Linked DNA regions of Yarrowia lipolytica. The protein of the gene in region 1 interacts with the protein of each later gene in a biochemical or structural test. Links are inferred from orthologs where the notes say so. Each region holds a gene or a part of one and is shown in the gene's direction. Other genes may lie near its edges.

Region 1 (8,395 bases):
GTAGGGCTCGAGGGCGGTGGTCTTGTTAGGGGCAATCATGGCTCGAGTGGGGTTTGCTTCAGCGTCTTTAAGGGTTCCGATCTTGAACTTGTGTCCAACCTTTCGCATAATCTTGGGGGCGTCGTGGTATTTGTGGAAAAACTTGGTAGCGTCTTTTCCTGCGACTCGTTTGAGAATCTTTTTTCCGCCGGGGTGTTCTTTCTGGAATTCAGTGAGGTCGAAAACGTTACCGTCAATGATGATCCACAGAGATTCGGGAGAGTTGTGCTCCGCAACTTGCTGTCGTTAGCGCTGTATATATACACATGAGTGGTGCAATAGGCTTTAGGCACATTAATGCACATGTACCGAGGGAAGGTTGGAAGGTTGGTTTGTGTGGGGAGGTTATGCAACGTGGCGGCGGTGGTGGCGGTGGCAACACCAAGCGGCGGTGGGTGGGTCAATCGATCGATTGGGTGATTCGTTCGATTGATTGCCGCAGTCCCGGTCCATGTTCACTATCTACCTCAATTCCTATCACACTACCGCAGTGGCTAGTGTGTACCCCAGATGTCACACCACCTAAGGGGCCGAATAGAGTTCATCGGCTTTGGGGGGTTAAGGTTGTTTCTGTGGGGAACGTGATTTTCAGAGCAGTCAGGGCAAGAGACGTTGGAGGCTACCAATTGCTGCAGAACCATTGGTGGTGGGTTCGGCTCAGTTTCCGGAGCTCCGAAAGCGACTCTCCAAGTCTCCCACCTCCTGTTCACCTCACCTGACGTCACTAGCCCACATCCACCGCAATACCTCGGCACATGCAACCAAACCTAAAATTATCCCCAGCACATGTCACATTATGGAGGCAATCTGACCATTGCGGAAAGAAACGGAGCAAGTGGCAGTGGTCGCTGATCGCCGGGAAAGGCCCAGCCTGAGAAAGACAGAGGAAGAGACAAACACAAACACAGACACAAACACAAAGCCTGACTCAGCAAGTGAAAGGGAGAGGGCGATCTAGACCGTCCAATCCGACTGGGAAGAGATGGACGGTCCAGATAGACAGAGCGTCTAGAGAGAGCCGTCTAAGCAATGTGTCTAGGGGCTGTGTCCAAACAATCTGTCTAAACGATCTGTGTAAAACAACCCGTCTAGATGGCATTTTCCCTGGCGGCGGCGCGTGACCAAGTTGCTCTAGAAGCCCTGTCCCAGTTACAAAGCCCGACTCTGAGATCCAGAATCTCTCCTGGCCATCTGTGTCGCCCAACCAATTCCGTTTGTCACCGCTGTCACCACCGTTTGTGTCTGTGTCGATACTGCCATCCCGCTACAACATGTCCCGTCTTCAGACTTGTGTCTGCTGTCGTGACCTGACCTGACCCGACCCCGTTGCACCATCTGCACTCTCACCGCCTCTGGCGCCTCTCTTTACCTCTGCCACGTTCGCCAAAACGTCCGCCAATCTCCCAGATCGCTCATACTCACTTCGGGGGTGTACTGCTCGCTCATGTTGTTGTGCTTCAGGTGTTATACCGTGTGAGTCTGGGGTTCTGGAGTCCGCGTGGGATTTATATCCAACCTAGGCCAAACTAGGTTTTCCCTTGTGTCAGCAAGTGGAGACCGGGCCAATCAGCGGCCAGCCAAAGTAAGATGGGGGCCGAATACTGCGTTTGAGACGCTTCTCCGGTCTACGATAAGGTCTGCCGAATCTGGTGGGGCGGTACGCATCCACATTTAGCCCAAATCTAGGTTCGTTTTGGACCTTTTTTGGTAACGTGATTGTGAGTATGTACGCAGTCTACATTGTAGCATTTGACATGTTGAACAAGTGCGAGTATGGTACATACAGAACTTGCAACTACCGAGTGCAACCACCAAGTACCGTACCGTACACCATCTCATATACATGTGTCTGAGGCTGTTGCAACGGTTCGCTCGATTCTCCATCCCGCCTCGAGCAGGACTAAAGAGCATACCAGGCAAGTCCGGTGTGAAGTAGCAACTTGACCTACTTATGACGGGGTTAGGGTTCCCGCAAGAGGGAGCTGGACGGTGGAGAGTGTGGGCAATTGGTGGAGGTGGCAAAGTCGGTTGGTGTGGGTGACTATGACTACGACGACGATTACGAGTATGAATTCGACTACGACTACAGTACTTGTGGTTATGTGTGTCCTGATCTGTTGGCTGTCGATGCACATACCACATTCATCTGGGGGACATGAACCTCGGCTGTACCTTACAGATGAGGTGCCGAGTGCTTAGTAAGCGGTAGGTGAACTTGTCGGAATGGCCAGAGAGAGGGATGTTGCATTGCAGAGACGGCATTTTATTCCTCAGAAGGTGTTTATTCCTTAGAAGGCGTTTATTCCTCAGAAGGCGTTTATTCCTCAGAAGGCGTTTATTCCTTTAATTCGGCCCTTTCTGTCAATACCGAATCGGACCCACACACTTCCAAAGTGGGGTTTAAACCAGATTTGATAATCGTCTGATCGGAAATCTGAAAAAAGCAAGCGATTCCCCTTGCCATTTTGCGTCGTTTCATCCCATTTCAAGTCCTCTCTGACCCAGATAGACCCGTCCAGCATGCACTCTATCGATGTCGATCTTTTTGCATACGGCTTCTGCATGCCCCGCCCCGCCCCACCAATGGCGAAGTTTTAACCTCACGAAAAACAAATTGCGGTCAATTTGCAGGTCCGAACACGCCACCTGTGGCTCAGTCGCCGCCGCTTGGACTCGTATTTTTGTGGCAGTGCAGAACAAAGTGGCCGAAAATTACACACAAGCCTGGAAGTGTATGGCATAACATTCGGAGGCGTGTTTGAGCGTTGTCGGGTTTGAGGTGTGATCGCATGGCATACTATACAGACACCACTATGCATTAGGAGGTACCCGTGTTGGAGTGTTCGAGGAATGTCAGGCTGTCAGTTTGCTCCATAGCAAAGCCTTCCAGAGTACTGTACTTGTACAGAACCCTTTCAGCCAGTCTGCAGGCGATCGACAACTTGGTGAACGTCTGTCGCGGTCCATTTCGCCAATTCTGACTAAGCCGGTAGTGTCCATGTCCATGATGAAAACGGTGGACAAGAGACATCCCCAAGAGGGTTGGCAGTAATAAATTGGACAATGGCCACGGCTACACGCTTCATATACGAAACGTCAACTAATATTCAACTAACCAACAGCTAATCAACAACTAACCAACAGCTAATCGACAACTAAACAACTATGTTAACTAATTCCCAACTAATCTCAGCTATGTTAACTAATTTTCAACTACAAGCAACTAACCACTTCACATTCAAACGAAAAGTGGATGACATGTGAGACTGTTTGTACACAAGATATGGATGATTGGTTCGGGATCGTTAAATCCAACGCACATCTTTCCTTGTCATTGAAAACCTGCTACTGCACATTGTTGTTCTCGGACTCCGTTCAACGGTCCGGCGATAGGAGCAGTTGTATCAAACGGAAATGTTGCGTTTTGCAACCAAGACGAAAAGTGGCAGATCAGAACGGTCTGGTTCACGTGAACCTTCGACTCCTTGTTTTTGGGCCTCTTGACTGACACAACGTGAATGGCTACTTGTTCTCGTAGTAGTGTATGTATGGTGGTGTACCTACCTATCTACAGCTGAGGACTCCCCAACCGTACATGCCTACATAGCAACGAATGCGCAACATGTCAGGTCACCCATATTCCTTGTTCATGGCTGTGCCTGTTCTGTAACAAAGACCTTTAGTGTCTACTATGGTGTGTTTCGGTTCACTAGTGGTACGTACTGGCACTATAAGTAGATCATGTCGGGTTATTTTTTTGGACTGGTTCTCCCATTTAGGAGAAGCACAGCCAACCCCCCTTTTGGCACTTTGCCGATTTTACCGCCGTTTTACAATTTTGGTAGTGGTTTGGGAACCACTCAGATCCTGTTAGAGAGGACATATTGAGACCAGAAAAGACGCAACGATGGAAACCCCGCGCAAATAAATCGATTTATCCACTCGGAAACCCGATTCCTCCGCTCCCCGCCGTTCCACCCATACATTTCCTGCCCCCCATCTCCTCCAATTAAGCTCACGTGCAACTTTACATGCATCCAAATATGAACACCTCACAGTTCCAACACGCCAGAGTGACACTGTCCGACTCAACCTCCCACAACAACAGCACAGTCCCCAGTTCGCGATGCTCTCTGTGCAGAACCGGACCCAGGAATTCAAAAGCGCGGTCGCGGCGCAGGCGCGGCTGCGGCAAAACGCCGTGCCGGCGCCACAAACCCGATCTGCAAAGTCGCAGTTTGCCCAGGACGCGTCGAAAATCGCCGCCGAAATCGCCGACACCACACAGATGCTGCAACGGCTAGCACAGCTGGCGCAGCGCAAGACGCTGTTCGACGACCGCCCCGTGGAGATCAACGAACTGACGCACGTGATCAAACAGAAGGTGTCGCGGGTTAACGAGCAGCTGACCCAGCTCCAGCAACGGGCCAAGCAGTCGACGGGCCAGAAGCAGACCATGGAGCACTCGAAAAACGTGGTGGTGTTGCTGCAAGAAAAGCTGTCGACAGTCACGGCAGGGTTTGCCGATGTTCTGGAGGAGAGAACTCGAAACATCCAGGCATCCAAATCTCGACATGAACAGTTCATTTCCGCCACGTCGGCTTCCACACAACAAGCGGCTTCCAGCCCGCTCTACGGCTCGGGAACAGCTTCGTCCAACCCTTACGATATGCAGATGCAACAGCAGGATCAACTGAGTGGAGCAGACCCAGAAACATCAGACCTGTTGACCCTCCCCCAGCAGGACACGTTACTGCTTGACCAACAAGACATGTACGTGCAGCAGCGGTCGACAGCCGTGGAGGCCATCGAAAGCACCATCCAAGAACTTGGAGGCATGTTTTCGCAATTGGCCACTATGGTGGCGGAACAGAGAGAAACTGTGGCCCGAATCGACCAGAACACCGATGATATCTCGTTGAACGTGAGTGGAGCGCAGAGAGAACTCATGAAGTACTACGCTCGAATCTCGTCGAATCGGTGGTTGATGGTCAAGGTGTTTGGTATTGTTATTGCGTTTTTCATGTTGTGGGTGTTGATTTCGTAAGGCGGCATGTGAACTAGAGAAGACGAATGGAGCAGGGTTTTTCTCGCCAACATTCCATCTTGGTTTGAGGACTAACAGTTGGTTGAAATGTGGTGAAATGGTGTTTTCTTGGTTGAGTGTTTCACTGAACTCCTCATCTCTCTATCCAGTCTTTTGAAAGAACTCTGTCATACCTCTGTCAACAACATGGACTCGGACGCACAGGTGTGGGTTTGCATATACAACCGGGGCACGGGAGAGGAAGGGCAGGCAGGATACATAGTGGAATAGATGGTGTTTGAATGTGCTGGATGTGTCTGGTATCTGGTTCTTGCAGCCACGCGTGGTGTTAGAAGATGGTCTTGTTGAGGACTGTTTGATAATGTGTCTTTTCAATGGACTTGGTTCGCACCGGGCAACCAACTGGATACTTACAACTCCAATCTTGGTGGTGTTTTGCATTGCAACTGTCAATAGCAATAGCTCATTTCTCTGTCAATGGTGCTGGGAAAGGGTGCTGGACCTCTTCTACACGCCCGTTGGATGGCTCGCTGAGGGTCGCAAAGTCCGTGCGAAATGACCTACTTAGAAAATACCTCCGTAAAGAAGACACCTCAGCTCCTCCGTGGCAACACAGACCTGTTGATCTAGAACAAGTCACCCCAGAGACCTCCCGGAGCCCTCCTGGTTCTGATTCTATGACCCTTCAATATTGTATTTCGGCCTACTTCATGGAGACTACCAGAGCGGGTAAAACAGCTCTCATGTTTAGGATGTTCAACATATAAAAATGTAGCTGCTGATCTCACCATTCTCATGGTACCATCAAAATCTCAGTATCTCATGTAAATATAGAAATACTGCGAAACTTGAAATTTGGACCCCCCCCAACCAGAACCCGATCACGTGACCGTAATACCCTGCCACAACCCTCTATGCGGCTTATTTCCCCATGTTTGGGAGCAGCCCATGCACACACACATATGCACACACATATGCAAGTTACGTTTAAAACCACAGGTGCAGCCTTGATGACTAAGCGCATAATACATTCCACTGTTTCATCTGTGTTTCACGGTCGTGCCGAGGGGAGAGTCCATTGGAGATCACGTGTCCAATACTGGGGCATGTGTGTTGGTCACGTGATCTACAATATTGTGAGATTGGTCGCTTTATTGGGTTTTTCCAGGTGTTTTCAGGTGTATTTTTAACATGTTCGTAGAATCAACCGGATTCTCATCTTTGAAAATTGGAGATTTATTGTGGATTTGTGGATTTTAGCATTTTAAAGGATATCATTGGATTTGTGGCAATGAGGACTATACAATGGTGCCATTTATATCTGTCTCTCATTACTCCTTCCTGTTGTGTTCTCTTTTTTTTATACGACCACCCCTATGATGAGCAGTATGTGAGACAACCATAACACTGTATTTTTTCAGGGGTTTCTGAAAAGCTGAAAAATGATCATTTCTGAATTACGGAATATCTATTCTGGTCAAAATTGTTCAAGGAGTTGTTTCCCGCAGTCAAAATCCTTCTATCTTCTCTCAATGATCCCCTATTATCGAATCGGTTATTTATAAAGTTCTTTTCTGCCGCAGCATTTAAGGTTGCTGGCATGCATGATGTTCAAATATAGGCAATCTTGGAGTATCATTTTATCCGACACTATTACAGCTTGAAAGTGAGTATGGCCCGTCTGCGGGGGTGTTTGCAAGTGTCTGGGGCACGTGTGTGGGTCATGTGATGTACACGTGTCGCGTTGCCGCGTGTTTTTGGCCCCACGCTACCACGACTACCCCTCCTCATCGTCCTTGCTACTAACACAGACGACCCCATGGGTCTGCTAGAAAAGACGCTATTTGCGGAAGGAGAGCCGTTTTCCTACGATGGCAACAACCGGGGCAAGCGCAAACTCCGGCCGATGGACGGGTCGAGTTTGCCGCTTGAAAACACTGACTTTTCGGCCGAAACCCTCGATCGACTAGTTGGAAGGAACGTGGTGTCTCCTGCTTCGGACTATTTCCATCTTGGAGAGAGTGGTGAGGTTTCAGAAGAGGTACGCGCAAGACGGGAGCTTCGGGACCGTAGGCTTGCTGCCGAAGAGGAACGTGAGAGGGGAGCGAGAGCCGCAAGAAAGAGAGCTGAAAAGGAAACCTGGAAGGAGATCGAGCAGAAGTACGGCGAGGGGAAGGAGCCTGTGGTTGGAGATTTGCGGCGGCATGTTTCGAAGGATGAAGACGGAAATGCAAAGGAATATGTCCCCTTTGATGAACCGTCGACTTCAATCATTCCTCCTGAAACCAGTCAGGATGGCAATAAGGATTGCAAGCCTCCGAAGGGGGCGTTTGAGAGAGAGACGCCGTCGTACAAGACTGCGTTGCCTATTGGTGAGTACTACCGAGGAAAAGTGGGACCGTTTGATCTATATGGGTACTGTACTGCATTACCCATACTTAACGGAAGACAGGGCTCAGGCCATGGGACCACTGATTGTAGTTGCCTAGTCACTAACACAGCATCATCATCTACCTCATCCAAATCCCGCACGTCCACGTCACCACCATCACCAACATCTTCTTCGTCATCCAACTCGGATACCAAAGAAACACACCATGGACACCAACACGACTACACATACCACGACACGACATCCAACGATTCGTTCAAGGACGCTCTTGAAGAGCTGGATGAACCCAGTGACGACGGAAGCTTCCAGGAGCCGTCGACAGCAAAAAGCACACACAATTTGCATTCCTGGAAAGATGGAGATACCGACACACTGAGAGGAGAGCATGCTGATATCGGCACAGCAGAAATCAGCACTTTGGGCAAGCCAAACCTTAGCATGGGCCACGTGATGGGCCGAACACACTCGCCGTCCATAGCGTCACGTGACTCATCTGCTTACGTGCAGGAGCCTATCTCTATTGTTGAAGATAGTGCGAGTATCGAGGAGGAAGAAAGTATTACAACCACCCGGTCACGTGTATCTTCCCACTCGCGTGACAAAACTGTGTCTCCCTCGCGCCCAGGGTCTCTATCACGTGTTGCATCACGTGACCGAACGGTTTCTCCAGGTGGATCACGCCCCTCGTCTCCTGTTCGATCAAAATCCCCTCCTCTGCCTGCATTTACATCAGCTCGTCACAAGTCGCCACAACGAGTTCCAACACTGGAGTTGCCCGAGGGCGATGGAGGCAATCAGGTGACTAGACATGAGGACGATGCTGTGATTATTGACGACTCAGAGTCCTCCGTCTCAGAATACGAGGTGGAAGCGGATCTTCCTACGATTGACGCAGCCATGGACTCGTCTGAGGAGCA
Region 2 (8,108 bases), on another chromosome or scaffold:
GAGACATATAGTTGTAGGTCTCAATGGCCCGGGCAATGTTGTCGCCGTGGATACCGACAGAGACTCGCATGATCATCTGTTGGGGTCGCTCGGCAACAGCACCGTTGACTCGCAGCAGGTATGCTCGCTCCAGGGTCTTGAAGCCAAAGTAGTTGTAGGTGAAGTCTCGGTCGTAGAGAATGGCGCCGTTGAGCTCGTCGGCGTTGGCCTGCACGGTGTCGTACAGCTCCTTGGAGACCATGGGCGAGTGCTTCTTGTTTCGGGGGTTCACGTAGTGGTACAAGTCGTAAACCACCTGCGAGAACTGCTTCTTGGTCTGCTTATGCAGGTTGGACACAGCGATTCGGGCAGCCAGAATCGCATAGTCAGGATGCAGAGTGGTCATGTAGGCGGCTGTCTCGGCAGCCAGGTTGTCGAGCTCGATAGTGCTAACACCCTCGTAGATACCGGATGCAATCTTGAGGGTGATCTGGATAGGGTCGACGTGGTCAGGGTCGAGGCCGTAACACAGACGCTTGATACGTGCAGTGATTTTGTCGACCTGGACCGACTCCTTGCGGCCGTCTCGCTTGATGACAAAGAGCTTGGACATGATGGGGGATGGGTATGCAAAAGGAGAGAGGAAAACACGCTTGCACAGGGAGACACGTATCTTATATATTTGACGGAATTAGGTTCCCTCCCTTGGTTTAGGGTCAAGGTGCAGGTTACTGAAATGGGTCGTGATAAAGGGGTGAAAGAAAAGCAAAGATGGGAAATGACATATCAGTAGACGTTGCAAAAAATCATTCGTATCATATCCGTTTTTCTCCTTATCAACAGCTCCTCTTTATCACCTCCTATACTGGTGTTTGGATCCTGTTGGTCACGGTTGCCACCGCGTCGAACTCAATTATAAATGATTTTCATTTACAGCTCTTTTCGTGTTTTGATCACGCGTTAGTTTGTGCAAATCAGTGGTTTTCCAAGAAAAAATTATATGACTACTATAAGAAAATGACAGAAAATTCAATTAAAACAATAGCTAAGCAATATCTCTTTTATATTATCCGTCTCTCGTCCTACACGCACATGCTGTATCGTTCTCCCTTCAACGCGCGCTAAAAGTGACGCGCATCGTCATTTAGCATCCAAATCGGGGAACCCTATATTATTCTGCACGAAAAAAGCGTGCAGCAACAACAATTTGGAGCTGTGCACATCCAAAAGGAAGTGAAGCCAACGTGCAGCTCCATTGTCTGCGACCCACACATTCCATAACAATGCCTAATTCGGTCTAAATAACTTATCGCTGCGGAAGCCGACTATCAACCTACAAGTAGTCCTTGTTGTCGGCTGCTGCTGTTGATTGTGTCGCTGCTGTGGCCGTTGGTACGCTTGTTTCTATGGCACGGACACCTTCTTTGCCGCTATAATTTCTATATGGTGCTCCATTGTCCACACCAGCTTGTACAGCCTTGGACCATAAAACGGTTAGGTACGAGACCATTGTGTTCTCAGTTATGGCCACAAGACATTTGCAGATCAGCTATTGTTAGCCAGGACCGCAATCTTCGATGAGATGACCAGCCAACCCATCTTTGGGTACTTGTAGTGTATCCACTATACTTGTAGTGGCAACCATCCGACACCCTCTCTATAACGCGCTTCGTACACGCGATTGACACTGCTCGACACGCTCCGTCTCCATTGTTGTGCATCTACGACGCCACCCAAGTCTACATTGTGACGTGCATTGTATAATAGGCATGGGTGTCTGTACGGGCAAGGAGAGCCGTGGGACTATGCTGTAGGAATTTATCTGCTTCCGGAGTGTCAGTCAGTCTATAGTCAAGCAATAGCTAATTGAGCAGCTGCGTCTGAACTGTTTTCCATAGTCCAAACTGTGCTGTGTCTCGCCACTGTTTCCATGGCAATGGGTTTTGACCGTGCCTAATTTCATGACACGAAAACGACAGCACCGGCTCAATTACTACAAGTTAGCTTGATATTGTAGTATCTACTGTAGCTACTTGCACTTACTGTAGAATGTTTAGTCAAAGCGTGCCATTAGACTAGCTCTCGAACTCTGTTTAGAAGCGATACACCACAACAACATCTCCAATTACGGTACCCGTACCAGTGATCGTACTACAGTCGACCTTGGATATACGCCGGCTGCTCCGACACATGACGCCGCGACCGCATTTACAACAAGAGCACGAGTTTTACGTTTCTCCAGGAACCAAAAACCGCGAGGCGGTGATCGCAGCTATTCCCGGAGTCGAGGTGCTCGCCCCGTCTCGAGACACCATCAACATCTGTGCCAAGCGCGAGATGGCCCATCACAAGCAAATGTACCCTACGTTGGAGTTTCATGACCGCACCATTCTCAATAAGCTGCGAAGCACACCTTCGCTGGCGCGTGCTGCTATTCTGGAGACTCCCTCTAAGTTCGCATCGGCGAAGTATCAGAGCAGTGCATCACGGTTCAAGGCCATGGTCAGACAACAGAGGAGAAGGAGTAAGGGAATACGTGTTGAGACGGTGGACGATACGTTAGCCGTTGATAAGGATGACGAGGAAGGTGGAGACGATAACCCATTCCAACCTGTGAACAAGGAATCTAAGGTCACGGAGCCCGAGGACGAACAGAACGATCAGAGTGACTCTGAGGAGTCAGAGGAAGAACAAGAGTCGGAACCCCAAGGTAAAACAGTGAACGTGAAAAAAGAGGTGACTGACGTCACAGCTTCCCAGATTGATGAGTCCGACAGCTCTGACAACTCGGGCTCGGACTCGGGAGAGGGAAAGGGATCGGGCCAGGACTCGGACTCTGACGGTCCTGACGGTTCTGACAACTCCAACACCACAAACGAGTCGGAGGAATCTGAACAGGAAGGACAGAGAGAAGAAGAATCGATTCCTGACTCAGTTTCGGAATCGATACTGCCTTCTCTCAAGAAGTCTCCTCGCAAGAGAGTGTCTATTACTCAACCTTCAATCCGAACCTATCGCAACAAAAGGATCCGAAAGGTCGAGGAGATTTCAGACTCTGATGATGATTTTGGATCACACACTCAAGAAAGCCAGGAGTCTGTGAAACCAGAACCCAAGAGGCACGAGAATGACAAGTTCTACGAAGCTGAGGAGCAGTTTGAAAAGGATGAGGAACAGTTTGAGACCGCCCCAGATCATCTCGGCAATAAAGGGGAAACAGAGGACGAACCTGTAGATGGTTCCGAGTCAGAATCCGACCGAGAAGCGACTCCTACAAAAACAAGATCAAGCAGATCTCTCTCCAAGACTCCAGCCGAGGCGCCCAAACTATCAACGAGGGCCTCTCAGCCACCGAAGTCACCCACCAAACAACCCAGCGAAGCTCGTAGACGACGCCGAGTGTTGCTGGATGAAGACGACGGATTTGATGACGGGTTCGAAACCGAGTTTTCCCGAGAGCGACAGGCAGAGTTCTTTGTCCAGAGCGACTCTGACCACTACAGTGATGATGAATACGGGCAGGACAGAAAGGGGAATGGACACCAAAATGAACATCAAAACAACAGCCGGGATCAAGTCGCTGTCAAAGAAGATGAAGGAGAATACGCATACGATCATGGAGACGACGAGGAGAACGAGCATTCAACTCGTGGCGAGTTCGATGACGAGTTTCTGCCGATACAGCCGAGACGCCGCGGCAAGCATTCTCTCCAGGGAGGGAAGAAGGGAAGACCACGGGACAAGTTCAACCCTTCCAAGGATAGACTGCTCCTGGAAACTTCAGAAACAGCCAAGAAACTGGCTATTCCTCGCAAGGAGCTCTTTGACCAGCTCACCGCGATGATTGGACACACAGAATTCTCCCTGCAAACTCGTCTCTCGAAGCTGGAAGCCGACGAGAATTTACGTGATATAGCCCTCAATGCTCCTGTCATTGAAGGCGCTTCTGTGAGTGATGTCTTTGCCAAGATCATGCACAAGGCTCAACGAACGACGGGACCCAAGCCTCGGGTGCGAATTCCGTACACAGATCTGGACGACCTGGCGATCAAGGCCTTTGTCTGTGACTTGGACCCCTCAAAACGTGGATCTTATAGCTCATATGAGCCGTTTGCAGAGAAGTACACTCATCACGACTCCAGCAGTGTGAAGGGTCGATGGACCAAGACACTGGGTCCTCGGACTAACGAGATTGAACTGCTGGAGGCTAAGCAAAAGTACACTCCTCAGCTTGAGCAGCAGTATCTCAACTGGTTACATAATACCTATCCTGCCTTATTCCAGGGATAGTTAGGTGGTTACATAAATAATTATTTATTTGCATTTGGTATACAGTAATGGAATGTAGAGGGTCATAGTAGATGCAGTTAGGACCACAGTGAGCTACAGTATGCTACAAGTAGCAGAAGCTCCGAGCGCCCACACCATTAGGGATTGGCCAACTCTTCGAGCTTCGAAAGCCAGACAGTGTTATGTAACAGAGACAAACACAGCCGGAAGATGCCACCATGACATATGCTACTCAGCACAGAGGGTAGTTGTGAAGTGGACAAACAGCACAATCGTAGACCACATACTAAAAACTCCAATTCCGTCCTAATCTGTGGCGAATATAGCAGGTGCAAGTATACGTACAGTACAAGGGATAATTCCATGAATCTTATAGTATCTGTCTCAGTACTTTTAATGTGGTTTAGTGCGCTCAAACATGTTCCGCATCATGTTCGCCGATTGGCTACTGCGCCACAATCTCCCAAACTAGCCACACTTAGTCAGCACAACGTGCAGATACTCAATTCTATATCGAAACTTAGCCACTTTTCCTCATCAACAATGCAAGTTCTCAGAGTGGCTCGATATGGCGCTAGCCGCATTGGAAGGATTTCCACCACAGCTCCTGCCTTCACTACACTGACCCCTCAATGTGCCTCTCGACAGTTTTCGACCAGAAGCGCTCTGCTTAACAACAAAAACATGTTCAACACCAACAGTGAAGAACCTAAGCAGCAGAAGAAGCAGTCTGGAGCTAACGAGCTGGAGAGCGACGAGCCAGAGCCGCAATCACAGAAGAAGAACCGAAAGCGTTTTGTCTTCCTCGGTCTTTGTGCCCTCATGCCTATCATTTCGGGCTACCTTGGCACATGGCAAGTCAAACGTCTGCAGTGGAAGGTGGACAAGATTGCCGATTGTGAGAACCGACTTCTCCAGGAGCCTCTGCCCCTGCCTGGACACATTACCGAGGACCAGGAGGTTCTGGAGAGAGAGTTTGAGTACCGAAAGGTGGTGGTTACTGGTACACTGTGCCACGATGAAGAGTTCCTGGTCGGACCTCGAATGAAGGACTCTGTCGAGGGCTACTTCCTTGTGACTCCTCTCGACCGATCTAAGACCGGTGGATCCAAGCTGCTGATTAAGCGAGGCTGGATTTCCAAGGAGATGGCGGACCAAAAGAAACGAGACCCTCTCGCTCTGCCCAAGGGCGAGGTTTCTCTCGTCTGTCTGCTCAGACCTGTTCCTCTCAAGAACATGTTCACTCCCGATTCCCCAACTTCCCCCAGTGTCCGAATCTACAACTTCATGGACATTCCGACAATGTCCAAGTTCACCGGAGCTCAGAACATTTACTTGGAGGAGGAGCTCAACATGCGCCTCGGAGGCCACGAGTGGGTCACCGAGTCCCATATGATGAACCATGGAGTGCCCATTGGAAAGCTGCCCAAGGTCGATCTTCGAAACACCCATTTACAGTATATTGCCACCTGGTACGGCGTGTGTGTGTTTACCACCGTCATGCTTGTCATTATGTGGCGAAAGGGCCGAATGAGCACTCTCGACAAGAAGGTCGCTTACTCTCGAAAGTACGTTACTTAAGGGAGAATTATTTGTACATAGCTAATAGAGTCTTCACGGAAGAAGGGGAGAGTGAGCAAGCTTGCGGGCTTGCTTATGAGCGGGTACGAACCTGCTTGTATAGCTGCATAGCTATCTATTATTGATGAGTTGTGATGCCCTCGTAGCCAACTTTTTTTTTCTTCTGCATTTGTACAATTTACAGCCTGAAGCTTGTTAAGAACGAGCAGCTAGTTCAAAGTTTAGTAGATGTTTACTTGGACTCAGCTCCACCTGGTACTTGTATGCAGGGGAAAAAGAAAAAAAAAGCACGTTGTCCTATTAACGGCCCCTTGAAAAAATTCTTGCGCTATCTAAACCTCTACTTGTAGTTCAGCTCCAAAAACCTCGCCATACTTTCCATAAATCCATTTTTGTACCCCTGACTCCGAAAGCAGTGCATCCCGTGCACATCACATTGTGCCAACCACAACAATAAAAGTTTAGGTTGTTGGAACTACTCACACCTTGGAGATACATCACCAACCTAACACGTCATCTAACAAACAACGAGGGCTCGTACCGCAAACTAGCTACTTTCACCATGAACGCGATTCACAACCATCTGGTGAAGCAGAATGCCAGCTTAAAGAAGGACCTGTCCGAGTTCTCCGCCAACCCCGCAGGGGCGCCCATGTCGCTACAAGGCCAGATTTCGGCTACCATGACCTCCTTCAGCCGAACCCTGGACGACTATTCGGAAATTATCAACAAGGAACACAACAAGGAGAAGAAGGAAAAGGCTGAGGCACGTCTGGCTCGGTTTCGTGAAGAGCTGGCCGACGCACGAAGCGAGTTCAAGAACCTCAGATCGGCCCGAGAAGAGAAAACGCTAGAGGAGAACAAAACGGCGCTGTTTGGAGACAACCCTTACGGCGAGTCGCGAAACAGAAACGTGAACCGAGACGTGCCGATTCAGCCGACCTACACAGATCTTACACGAGAAGAGGGCATGCAAAGGGAACAGTCGTCTCTGAACCAGGTGGGCCAGCAGCTCGACTCATTCATTGAGCAGGGAATGGCTGCTCTGGGCGACTTGCAGGAGCAGAGCGACATTTTGAGAAGCACCGGAAAGAAGATGCGGTCTGTGGCCGAGACTCTGGGTCTGTCTCGAGAGACCATCAAGATGGTGGAGAAGAGAGCACGACAGGACAAACGGTTTTTCTACGGAGGCATCGTCTTCATGCTCGTGTGTTTCTATTACATCTTGAAGTGGTTCAGTTAGGAGACGACCAGCAAGCTAATGGTCATAAAAACAAAACAACGCGACTCAAAACAAAACAAAACAGAGAGCCCAGAGTGAGAGAGAACAGGTACGGTTTAATTAACGGTGGAACAATCTTTACATATAATAATAGATAATGGTGGACATGCTGAGGAGGATGATACGGAAATTGACTACCTGTATATAGTTACAAGTGAGACAAAACTATGAGTTATCTACATACCGTAGGGCATGTCCCTATCACTCCTACTTGGCTCCTACATACGAACTTTTATCATATCCTGATCAGTGTTATCCACCCAAACTCTAATAGTTTAATACAAGAACGGGACAATCTGAAAAGTTGGATGTGACGCAACAGTACACTCACCATGAACCAACAAATCAACGCGGAGATTGTCAAGCTGGTGGGAAACGTTCCGATTCCAAGGGAGGTGACAAATCTCGCATCCACGCTCATGGGCAAGGCTCAGACAATTCCAATGAAGCCCAACGAGACTCCTGCTCGCATGGCTCTGTGTGCCCATGTAGCGATTGAGAAGCTGCTGATTGAGCTGCAACTGCCGGCACCCAAGCAATCACAACCGCCCGTTCCACCGAGATCTTACGAGAAGCTTCTCCAACTGTTCCGAGAGGAGCTTCTGGGCGCTCCTCCTGGCCCCTCGACGCCGCGGAAGAGAAAGTCGCCAATGAAGAACCCCGAATTGGTTGCTCAGAGAACGCCGAAAACACCAAGGACTGCTCGACAGGTGCAGAAGGACATCCAGGAGAGCGGTCGAAGTGACGCCAATGTGATCGGGGAGGATCTGTTGAATTCCGAGGCGATTGGAGAGGAAGACGGGCTGTTGCCAGATACACCTTCAAAGACGAAAAAGTCGCCGCAGAAATCGCCCAGAAAAGGAGGGCCCAAGCAAGACGATCCACAGCCAGCCGACATTGAATTCATTACAAAGGAGCTGCGATTCCCTAAACATGCATTGGAGGGCGTCCAGCGGGGATTCGACTTTTACTGGGC
Region 3 (2,995 bases), on another chromosome or scaffold:
TGACACCTATGTTCTAGACATATGATACTTGATGCAAAACGTGTTCAGAGTCCAAGTATTTTACTCGTGCGGTTCTTCGAAAGGATTGCTTGCAGCACAGACTGGTTCTTCTGTTCTTCTGTTGGTTGACGGACAAACGCATTGCTCAGGTTCGTCAATCATGGTCTCGAACGTGAATCAGCAGACGAGTAGTTCAGTCGAGTACTGCTAGATATTGACAGGCTAGTTCTAGCTCTCCTGTGATTTGTCCTACCAAACCAAGTACACTTATCGTCTGTTACATCAACAGGAACTAGCTGTTAGAAGAGTTGCCGGTCTGCTTTCTAGAGACATTTCATTCTCGTCGTCAAGAACACCTTGATAGCTCCGACCAAGAGTCTCTTATGTTATTAATTGATTGATTGCTTCTATTACAGCATTCTGTCATTGTAGGAATCAGCTCTCGCCATTCTGTGCCTCTGCGATACCGACTACTGGTGGGCCACTGAACTGAGGTTGTAGTGGATAGTGCTTTGGAGAACATAACCGATCAACTACTCTTTCGATCCAGCATCTCATCCGTATTTGTTCATGACGTCATCCGGTGCCATGCACCTTTTCTATTATACAATAAATAATCCTCCCTGGTTTGAAATCATGACAAGCTCATAGTATGCCTGCCAACCGCTTCATCTCCCATGATCTGAAAGATGCAGATGCTTCTGCCGTTTCGACTGTCGCAAGAAGCTTGTATAGAGCAGGTTCGCGGCTTGTGACTTGCGATGTTTCACAAGTCGTCCACGAGTCACTGGCCCCCGAGGAGTCCAATGCTCACTGCGTTCGATTTGCCGCTACTCTGCCGTGACATCCTCAAAAGGTGCCAACGGAAGAACACTCTCTTCGAATGCGGGAGGTTCGGGAATGGTAAACGAGCCGTCCAACTTGGCAATGGCATGGGACTTGGATCGAGCATACTCAATTACCATCTCTTTGCCCATGAACTCGCTCTTCTGCAGCCCGTTGAGCGCCGAGATCGACGCATCGATATCGTTAAATACCACATGTGCCTGGCCCCGCATCCGCTCGTTTTTCATCGCCACAATGTCGAGAATGTGTCCGTACGAGCTGAATCGCATGTACAGGTACCGTTTGAGGTCCGATTTAGTGCATTTGTCGGTGAGGTTTTTCACGTAGAGCGTTGGCGATGGGGTGGGTTCGTCGCCATCGGTCTTGGACTTTTTCGCAGGCCGCTTGCTCTCCACAAGAGCCGATTCTCGTTTGGTCTTGCCCATGCTGATATGTTGATGGTGGTTAAAAAATCGTGCATGATATCAGAGTAATGGGTTAGGGTCGACATGATACAAGTCGCTTCAAGGGAAATGGTGAGGAGGCTTGTGGTCCACCATACGACCTATTCGGTATTAGTCGAGAGCTGTAAGTCATTTTTTGCGAGCTTTATTCTACCTGACTGCAAGAACCAATACTTGTATTTATCCGCCTTATATTTACACCATCTCCCCCTTCTACAAGTGATCACTCACCTTATGTAATCAAATGAGGGGTTATTAGGGATTCCTCTATATATATATATTATATATATATATGTGTGTGTATGTTGTATAAGTGTCCTATGTTGGTCCCTTGTATTCTCAACCCCCTTCCCTCAGCCTAAGTCGCCGTCCCGGTATTGTCTGTTCTATTATTTGCTTCACAAGCATCATCTCGCTAATTTCATACTGTATCGTGCATGCAGTCAACTCCCACCTGCATGTGCGTCACGGTACGATACCTGTCGCTACGTGTACCTAAGTTCCAGCACCACCAAAAACACCACAAAGCCCCCCAATTATGGCGACCATATCGAGCTCGCGAACACAAGTGCGACGGCTAGAGTCTCAGCTTGCAGAGCTGCTCTCGGAGTACTCCTCTTTTGCCACCTCTCACGCCATAGCAGCCTCCGAAGACGAGGTACGGATTGGACGGGATATCGAGCAGGTAATTGAGAAGACCGCCGACTCCCTGGAGTCGTTCGAACGTCTGCTGGATTCCACCCCTAACGCCACAGCAACACAAACAGGCCAGTTGCAACGCCACAGAGAGACTCTCGCAGAGCACAGATCGCAATACAAGAAGATCAACGCTGGAATCAAGCAGGAACGAGACCGGGCCAACTTGCTGTCGTCGGTGCGGTCGGATATCGAGGGACACAGAAACCGAAGTGCTACTCCCCAGGCCGAGGAGGAGTACATGTTACACGAGCGAGGCCGGGTGGACAACTCAAATAACATGACCGATACTCTGCTTGCTCAAGCGTATGCGACTCGAGAGGAGCTGCTGACCCAGCGGGCGAGTTTGGCCAACATCCAGCGTCGGCTGTTTAACACGGCTAGCAGCATTCCAGGCATTAACACGGTCATTTCCAAGATTAACACCCGGAAGAAGCGAGACAGTTTGATTCTGGCGGTTATTATCACCCTGGGTATTTTGTTCATTCTCTTCCTGAGATAGCAACAGTAAACTTCGAACAAACGGGTTATTTTGTTGTTTTTTTCTGGGAGCATCTTGGGACACAACGTTCAGAGCGAGGTCTCACAGGATATGTTACAGAAGAAGCCCACGGAATTGGCCCTGATGGAAGTTGCCTATGGACCAAGAAGTGAGCGCAACACAACAAATTGGCGCTCGCTAAGGGTGGCGCAAACAGTAACAGTAGCTGCTAGATTCATTAGGTATGCTCTCTGCTGCTAGAGTGAGGTGAAATAGATGAATGTATTTAACAGTAGACTAAGCGTCGCAGTAAGGCTTGTGCCTGTTGCGGTCATTGTATTACCCTAGTGTGTACAATGGGGGAACAGTCTAAGAAGGGGGCTACACTGACCCCTATGTACATTATTTATATATGGATTCATTTTACAGGTTGTTTTTTTTTTGTTGTTTTTTTTTTTTTTTTGGTATATATGTCGTGTGGTTTGCATGTGATGTGTGTGATGTTCATTGATGATTCATATCGTGCTTC
Region 4 (8,465 bases), on another chromosome or scaffold:
TGGAGAGCCTATTCTCATGGTCCATGGCCTGCTACAGTCCTCTGCAGCCTATCTCACGTCAGGGAAAGACTCCATTGCAGCCTACTTTCTGGAACAGGGGTATGATGTGTGGCTGGGAGATAACCGGTGTGGTTTCCAGCCTAAACACACAAAGTACAAGAAGAGCGACTCGCGAATGTGGCACTGGGACATCACGGAGATGGGAACCGAAGACCTGCCTGCTCTGGTGAACTATGTTCTCAAAGTCACTGGTAGAGAAGAGCTCATCTACTTTGGTCACTCTCAGGGAACCACACAGGCGTTTCTGGGCATGTCCCGGGACTTTTACCCTGCCCTTGGTCATAAGATCAAGCTGTTTGTTGCTCTTGCGCCAGCTGTATACGCAGGTCCGCTTATTGACCGGTGGTACTTCCAGTACTGTCGCAACATGTCTTTGGAGCGATGGAAGTGGTCATTTGGTATTCATTCCTACATCCCCTTGATGAACACCATGCATTCCATCTTCCCCAAAAGACTGTATGGCTTCTTTGGCTACATCATGTTCAATTACATGTTTGACTGGACCGACGAATGGTGGGATCGAAACCTGCGCAACCGGCAGTTTCTTTACTCCCCTACGTTTGTGTCTTCCCAGCTGATGCAGTGGTGGCTTGGACCAAACCACTTCTCCAAGTACAGAGGCATCTTGCCGGACAAGGCGGGGGTCAAGTGGTACGATCAAAACTTCCCCAAGCTGGTGCTGGTGATTCCAACCAACGATATGCTGGTTGATGCTGAGAAGATCTACGAGCGCATCACACAGGTGGAGACGGATGTGACCTTGGTTGATACCATCCGGGTGGTTGATTACTCGCATTTGGACGTTCTTTGGGCCATGGATGTGGTGGACAAGGTGTGTAAGCCTGTCCATGAGATCATCAAGCATCAGGAGAGAGAGAAGTCTGAGTTGCCGGAGATCCGGCTGACGACGTGAGTGATGGGGGTGTTTGCAACAGTTGTATTTATAGTCAGGTAATTAATGAATGGTAATATAATGCGGGAGTAGACGTGGGTAGCGCCACCAGTATGAACATTATAAAGGGATACACATAAATATGGGAGATGTTTCGGGGATGAAATGTATCTTGCTCCAGTACATTGTACGATTACGCATTCGTTCTGTCTGCTATGTGTGTGTGCTTATTATCATGTCTGTTCGTGCTATATAGAGGAGACGACTACTTGCAGTAGGTCTGCTTCAGGTATCTGGGTTAGAATATGTTTAGAAAACGCCTTAGGCATTATAGTAACATCAGCGATCTTGGTGATAAAAGATTGTCTTCAGGTGTACAGAAAAGTAGCAGATAGTTATCATCAGAGGAGAGGATTGCTGAAGGAGTTACTCACCATAAAGTCTCTATGTAGAGTGTGTGTGTGCGTCTGTATAGTTAATCATCGTGTTTGTGTCGGAGGTGTCGTTAGTGGCTTGTCAGGTTTGTGTCGCAGGGGTATCACTGCCTAGAGAGAGATTGACATTGAGTCGTCGCATTTCAACCTTTGTTAGAATGGCTCGTCAAAAATTCACTGACAATGAACGAGGAGTCAGACGAGAAAGAGCATATCAGTTCGGCCATCTGCTTGTAGAAACTAGGCATGTCTCAACAGAATGGCTTCTCAATCGCAAATTATATCATCATGAAATCTTCTTCCAAAAGGAACTCACTCTTAGGCTGTTGTTTGCTGGTGTGTTGAAAGCTGTTGTATGTTTATGATTGTGCTCTATGGCTGAAGCTTCTATAGTGTCCTGGCACAATAATTTTAAGGTTTATATACTGACTCCTTTGGGATATATTTAAGTTGTGACTGTGCCCTAATTGATATCACATGACCACTCAGTTTCCCTTTCGTCCCAAATCTAATTGTGCCACTCACATCTGGATTTTGAATTTTTATCAAGTCTTACACATCGACACATACAGACATCAACAATGACCGAAGTGAAGAGCGTTAACTGGAGACTGGTCGAGGCTGGCCGAATTGTCCTCATCAACCGATCTGACAACAAGTCCACTCAGGGCAAGCTTGCCATCATCGCCGAGATTGTCGACCACGGACGAGTGAGTATTAGAGGAGGAGCATGAAATGCGACACAGCAAGTGTCCAGCCACGGGAGTGTCGGGGCAAGTTCAGTGGAATGCTCACAGCATGCTGAATGCCTTGTTTGCAACATCACCGATGCAACACCCTTATCATGTTGTTTGAAACAAGTACTAACCCCAGGTCCTCATCGACGGCCCCACCACCGGCGTTGCCCGACAGGTTGCCAACCTCAAGCATGTCACCCTTACCCCCCACGTTGTCGAGGGTGTCAAGCGAGGCATGAAGTCCAAGACCATCAAGGCTAAGGTCGAGGCTTCTCCTGCTTTCAAGGAGTGGTCCGAGTCCAGCTGGGCCAAGAAGATCGCTCAGCGAGAGCGACGACGACATCTCACCGACTTCGAGCGATTCCAGGTCATGGTCCACCGACGAGAGCGAAAGGCTGCTCTTGCCAAGGCTGTCGCCAAGGCCTAAATCAAAATTTGATGATGTACAAAAGGAGACGCATTACTAGCGCGAGTAATAGCATTTATTTAAGCCTAGGTGATGTAAAGGATATTAAAAAAAGTATTTGATGCAGAGATGTGTAGAAATTGGTCTTGTAATTGTGGTATGAGGGGCATTTATAGTACCCCTAGTCGTAGTGTCTTTGCGAGTGCTGAGATACATCGTATAAACAACTGCATGTTTGTTCACACAGCACGAACAGCTGTTCGCAAAAGGTGTGGAGAAGTGTGTGTACGGTATGCACCGGTATCGTAGCTACTGTTGCCGCGGAGAGAAACAGCTTATTAAGATAGATCACTTGACCTCTTTTAGGGCATGGGGGAAGAACATAGTTTCCAGTTGACTAATACTGTAGATCTTGCCATATAACGTAGCATGACATGGGTATGGACTTGGACTAGAAGATTTTATTATATACATGATGGGACGCTGTAGATAACATCGCATCGAAATGGAAAGATGGACAGTGGCCCGCGGAGAGGCGTACCAGGCAGTAATCGAACGAGAGAAATCAGATAGAGTAGATGGTCTAGAGTGACTGGCAAAAGTCTGGCATCACTTCTATTGCATCATCAAGTGAGCAGTCTTAAACGGTCCACTTCTGCCTTCGGGTGTCTATCGTTATCTCTACTTCTTCTCGAGAGCCTCCCACTCCTTTGGAGTCTTGGTAGTCAAAGAGAGAGCATGGAGACCATTGGGCTGGGCCATCTCTTCCTCGAACAGCTTGTATACCATTCTGTGTCGGATGGGAGCGCTCTTGCCCTCAAACTTGTCGCTGACAATGGTCAGTCGAAAGTGCGACTCGATAGTGTTGTCCGATCCCCGCATGGCAGCATGGTGAGCGTGCTTGTGAGAGTCGTTGTTGACCTTGAAAAAGACAGGGGTGAACTCCTGCTTGACCCGGGAGTTGATGGCATCGGTGATGGGCGTGTTGGAAGAGGACATGTGGCGGAGTAGCGTCGTTTGTCGCAGCACGGGTCGAATACGAAGCATTATGTAAGTTCGGATGATGGTGTGGGATTTTCCCAGAAGTTAAACAGAGTGGAGAGCGCAGGAGGAGTTTCACTGTGCATGCATTACGAAGCAGGAAAAGTGAGTGTCGAGAGGACTGGTTCGATGGAGGGGGATACGGGTTTGAGAGTAAATTACTGTAGTAAAATGCTATGGCCATAAATTAGAACAGTGAAATCTCGTTCTGTTGTACTGTCTTGATATAGAAGGCTGTAAATTCCGTGTTTGAGTTTAGTTTCGCTATCACGTTTTTAGTTGACTGTTTACTTGCATCTCGATTTCATACTTGGGAGTCGATGCTCTGGTTGTAAGGGTAGCTGTGTTATGCACTGTGGGTACGTATCTATACCGTGCGCTGTGGACATATGGAACTTGAACACTCCATAGAGCTCTTATCAGAGCCCCTGCTTTGCACTAAAAGTCCGTAGTACTTTCTATCTTCACATCCATTTTTTCCATCCAATCATACTTGTCATTCGTCTGGCATCTCTATGGCTTGGCAAAAGTATCCAAGCACCATATTGGCTACCGGCGGCTACCCTTAAAAAAGGCGCCGAAAGCTCAAGATCCGCCTCCACTCTCATAGACACAGTCTTGGGCAGCGGCATGAGGCTGGGTTTCAATGAATACGTTGCCACTGTCCTCAAACTATCAAACTATCGGCACAATAGGCTGAGTGACTGCATGTGTTATGGTGTTGTGCTGATAACCAGAAGCGGATGTGGACAAATTATTTAAACAAGAGTCCGTGGCAGTACAAGTACGAACGAGTATCGTAGTACTGGGCCCGTTCTATTGGGATTTTGTAGGGTGGAGTGTACCGCTTACTACAATTGTAGCTATTGCAAGCTTAACCAGCACCCGCAAATGTTCATCGCCCCGATTGGCATCGTTTGTACAGTAAATAGCTGGCGGTGTACTCTGCCACACATGGTACAGCCCATACATGAGGTATGTACAGCCATGTACGAGTGCAGAAAATGTGCCGAAGTTGTTGGAAATTACACACTGTGGCGGTTCCACTTAAATCTACGCTACTTGTAGGTATATAGCTAATGATATACCTCATTCCTATCCTCATTCCTCTACAGTAAAACATTATCTCCCCCTTCATTCTCCCAAGTAGTGCGAATCACCTCAACTCCTCTGGTTGTAACTCCGTGTTATGATTTTGGGACTTGCACAGAGAAGACGTACGTGTTGAAATAATGACGTAGAAGGGAAAGTGTGGTAGAGAAAGGAGATACAGCCAGGGACGAGAGAACGGAAACCTGCAAAAAAAAAACACCCGGACCCGTAGCTCCACTGTTGCCACTTACACAGCCCTGACATATCCTTGTAACACACTTTTCAACCCGTCACGTGCAAATTCAAATGCCGCTAGCTAAAAATAACCTTGTTGTGTGAAACCTCACAAAAATACCCAGTCCTGCAGTTGGCTACATTATTCTCAACTCCTCACAGTCGTCACACATCCCCGACTTCCGACATGTCCTCTTCTGTCCCATACGACCCCTACATTCCCGGTGGCGAGTCCAACGCCCCCGGCGGTAACCACAAGACCGCCGCCATCCAGGCAGTGAGTATGAATTCGTGGCACTTTCACGAGAATTAAGGAGACATAACGTCAGACACAAAAACGAGATACCAGCAGCTCAGAGGATGGTAAAGGCACGGTGGCCAGTTGGAGGCATCAGAAGAGTCGGTTGTTTGTTGCGTGACCAGTTTGTGCAATCAGGTGATCGTTTGTCTATATGGCTCACCGTCTGATTATGACGGATGCCTGCCCAACTGTATCACACACTGTCACGACTTCCACAACAAGCACGACTACACACTCAACAGAGCTGAAGGTTTCACTTGTGAGACGCCAGCTGTTGAGCGGCGTTCTTGGACCGTTTCACCGTTAAGATCTCTTTATCATCGTGTCATGTGACTGGTATCACCATGAGTTATCGACCGCATTTCCCTGGCCGTGTTTCTTAATATCCCCGAAACACCACATCTGACAAATTCTAACCCAGCAAATCGATGATACCGTGGGTATCATGCGAGAGAACATCAACAAAGTCGCCGAGCGAGGTGAGCGACTAGACTCTCTGCAGGACAAGACCGATAACCTGGCAGTCTCTGCACAGGGTTTCCGACGAGGCGCCAACCGAGTGCGGAAGCAAATGTGGTGGAAGGACTTCAAGATGAAGATCTGTCTCATCATTGGTGTTATCATTCTGATTGTCGTCATTGTTGTCCCTATCGCCATCCATTTCTCATAATTTATTAGACCCCCCTTATGGTCTTGGTCTTAATGCCTATGTAATGAATCTGTACTTTTCTTTGGCCAGATGTTTGTGAAATACTTGCACAAGCATCCATCTTACTGACTGGTCCTGTAGCTTTGAAAACATCTTCGTTGGTATAAACGGAGGTGTTGTCTACGAACCATCAGGTAAGAGCTTCATTGGCTACAGCATATACTGTGGTTGTAGATATCCGCATTACACACAGTATATACTGTACTTGTACCTGTGTTCCTGGTGTGAAGTACGAGCTACTACAAGTAGTAACTACAGTAACAATGTATCCGACATGGCAATACTTTGTACATACTCATGCGGACCATATTGTGTTTTAGTATCAACACATCTCTCCATGCAAGATACAGTCACGTCTGTGGTCAGGAATGTGTCTAGAGTGACGATAATTATGTATGAGAGGCGTGCGAGAAACTCCTAATGGTAGTTCTAATAATAAATGCAATCGTATTATCGATTACCAGAAACTTGGTATCTACAAAATTATTCCACGGATCTGGGGAACTGGAGAGAGTTAGTATGGACCGAGAGAGTGGTGATATTCAGGAATACCCGACCCAAGACTGAGGAAGGATAAGACTTTACGACAATTTAAGATAAGGATGGCATGGAAAGTAGCTACCGGAAGGACATGACTACTGTATGGTAATTAGCACACAGTGCCCCACGGAGGTTTGATATCTGTGCTGATTAGTGAGACAGCTTTAGCAGAGGTGAGTAAGGTACAGCAGGCAACGACCTAGCTGAGCCGTTAATGTAAATCATTATCGGTTCTCAGGCGAATCCTACAAGGGAATTGTATGGGATTCCGCAAGACATTGTCCGTCTATGGTGTCTGTATGTATTATAAGATGGCTAGATATGTCTCAGAAGTACAACTAGTGGTGAGCTGCAACTTTGTCGTGTCGACAATCTGTAATAATGTACAAGTGCGATACAAGGGGCAGCATGTAAGTCGAGCACTGTTAATGAAACATGATAGTCCAGAGATTTTCAAGCCAGAGACTTCATATACTGGCTAGTTATTCCCTATATACCCCCAAGCAGACTCATAATGTCCTCCTGGAACAGTGATTCTGGAAACCACATCAACCTCAGAAACCACCCTCCAGCCAGTGCCAACTTCCGATTCAAGACAGCCCCTTAACTGTTCCACATTGCGTAAACACTTCAACTTCTTCCAGGTCTGTTTTTTTACACTCATTGCTTTCACTTCAGCCTGCGTCTAGTCCGTAATGTGGGGTCCTTGGCAACAAGAGTATGGCTGGACTGTAGACCAGCTGAACAACTCGTATGCCCTTTCTGTGGCCGGTCTGGGACTTGGATCTCCTATTTTCATTTTCCTACAAATTCGGCAAAAGACCCGTTTTATCTGACAGTTTCAGCTTTAGTTGTCGTCTGTGAAGCCTCGCAGGCGTGGATGAAGTCCATCGTTCAAGTCTATGGGTCCATGTTTGTCTAGGGTCTTGCTGTGAGTGTGGATGAGACCATTATTCAAATGACTGTTGCAGACCTCTACATCGTTCACCAACGAGGCACGTACTACAATGGTATCTACATGTTTGTGGTAGAGGTGGGCAACTTTCTCGTTCTGGTGCCTTCAGGATATATCACCCTCAATCTCAGCTGGAGAATGGTGTACATCATTGTTGTTATTATTGCTGGAGTTCAGTTCGTTATGACACTTCTGTTCTTTGAAAAGACCAATTATCGGGTATCTGGTTACAGTAGTTGCCGAACTGTCCGAGCTGGGAGAGGTTCAATTGTCAGAAGAATACAACAAACCGAGTCGATCTCATGGAATCGAAGATGCTGTCCTTTCTAATAGTCTGGACACTGTTAAATTAGAGACCTCAGGCACGGACTTGGAGATACAGACAAACAAATCACTCCTCACAGGTTCGTTCGGACTACTGGCTCTTATCACTTACACTTCTGGAAGCTGGGTCGAATTTTCCCGGAAATTGATTACGCCCTTTAAAACTCTCGTCACATACCCTATCGTGACTTTTTGTGCTCCTCAATACGGATTCTTGCTCTCCAGGCTATCTATGGCAGCCACCATCTCGGGCAACTCCTTTGTTCAACCTCCATATAACTTTTCAGCTGAAGCTATTGACAATGTCAATATTGCTCCTTGTGTAGGAATGATTTTGGGGTGTCTCTTTGAAGGTTGGTTTCATGATATGGCCATCATCTGGCTCAGCAAAAACCAAGGAGTCCACGAACCCGAATTCAAACTCTACAGCCTCATGAAGTCCAACTTCTCCATGGCTATCGGCATTCTCCTATTCGGAATATCGACTGCTCTCGGTGTCCATGGATGGTACCCACTGTCGGATTTGCAATCATAGCTTTTGGATTCGGGTCGTCATGGGCTATTGTGGTCACCCATCTGCTCGACTGCTATGAGAAAAAGGTGCCGACGCCTTCATTGGGGTCATTATGGTCCGTAACGCTTTGGTTACTGCAATCATTCTTGTCCAGAGATAAAATAGGCATACAGAACGTTTATATCTCTGCGAAATGCTTCACGCTCATCCCCTTGTTTCTCACCGT

Evidence for each region.
Region 2: the proteins of YALI1_C23989g (region 1) and YALI1_F39272g form a complex in vitro, tested with the Saccharomyces cerevisiae proteins (5 studies listed by BioGRID). The link is inferred for Yarrowia lipolytica from reciprocal best matches to the Saccharomyces cerevisiae genes SED5 and BOS1.
Region 3: the proteins of YALI1_C23989g (region 1) and YALI1_D30224g form a complex in vitro, tested with the Saccharomyces cerevisiae proteins (2 studies listed by BioGRID). The link is inferred for Yarrowia lipolytica from reciprocal best matches to the Saccharomyces cerevisiae genes SED5 and GOS1.
Region 4: the proteins of YALI1_C23989g (region 1) and YALI1_E00963g form a complex in vitro, tested with the Saccharomyces cerevisiae proteins (3 studies listed by BioGRID). The link is inferred for Yarrowia lipolytica from reciprocal best matches to the Saccharomyces cerevisiae genes SED5 and SNC2.

What each region holds. Positions count from the first base shown.
Region 1 is NC_090772.1:2,394,735-2,403,129, forward strand, and holds YALI1_C23989g (uncharacterized protein), read left to right. Parts: upstream 1-4,165; coding exon 4,166-5,086; downstream 5,087-8,395. Other genes in the region: YALI1_C23948g (uncharacterized protein), read right to left, coding at 1-108; YALI1_C23950g (uncharacterized protein), read left to right, coding at 306-758; YALI1_C24016g (uncharacterized protein), read left to right, coding at 6,906-8,395. UniProt on the Saccharomyces cerevisiae protein: Required for vesicular transport between the endoplasmic reticulum and the Golgi complex. Acts as a target organelle soluble NSF attachment protein receptor (t-SNARE).
Region 2 is NC_090775.1:3,925,513-3,933,620, reverse strand, and holds YALI1_F39272g (uncharacterized protein), read left to right. Parts: upstream 1-6,412; coding exon 6,413-7,093; downstream 7,094-8,108. Other genes in the region: YALI1_F39330g (uncharacterized protein), read right to left, coding at 1-592; YALI1_F39314g (uncharacterized protein), read left to right, coding at 2,170-4,269; YALI1_F39291g (uncharacterized protein), read left to right, coding at 4,495-5,850; YALI1_F39261g (uncharacterized protein), read left to right, coding at 7,465-8,108.
Region 3 is NC_090773.1:3,021,220-3,024,214, reverse strand, and holds YALI1_D30224g (uncharacterized protein), read left to right. Parts: upstream 1-1,827; coding exon 1,828-2,487; downstream 2,488-2,995. Other genes in the region: YALI1_D30241g (uncharacterized protein), read right to left, coding at 20-142; YALI1_D30230g (uncharacterized protein), read right to left, coding at 831-1,271. UniProt on the Saccharomyces cerevisiae protein: Involved in transport from the ER to the Golgi apparatus as well as in intra-Golgi transport. It belongs to a super-family of proteins called t-SNAREs or soluble NSF (N-ethylmaleimide-sensitive factor) attachment protein receptor.
Region 4 is NC_090774.1:91,281-99,745, forward strand, and holds YALI1_E00963g (uncharacterized protein), read left to right. Parts: upstream 1-5,083; coding exon 5,084-5,173; intron 5,174-5,618; coding exon 5,619-5,867; downstream 5,868-8,465. Other genes in the region: YALI1_E00907g (uncharacterized protein), read left to right, coding at 1-973; YALI1_E00928g (uncharacterized protein), read left to right, coding at 1,545-1,739, 2,260-2,550; YALI1_E00948g (uncharacterized protein), read right to left, coding at 3,211-3,576; YALI1_E00986g (uncharacterized protein), read left to right, coding at 7,405-7,731. UniProt on the Saccharomyces cerevisiae protein: SNC1 and SNC2 are vesicle-targeting proteins essential for normal secretory traffic between the Golgi and the plasma membrane. They may also be involved in vesicle fusion.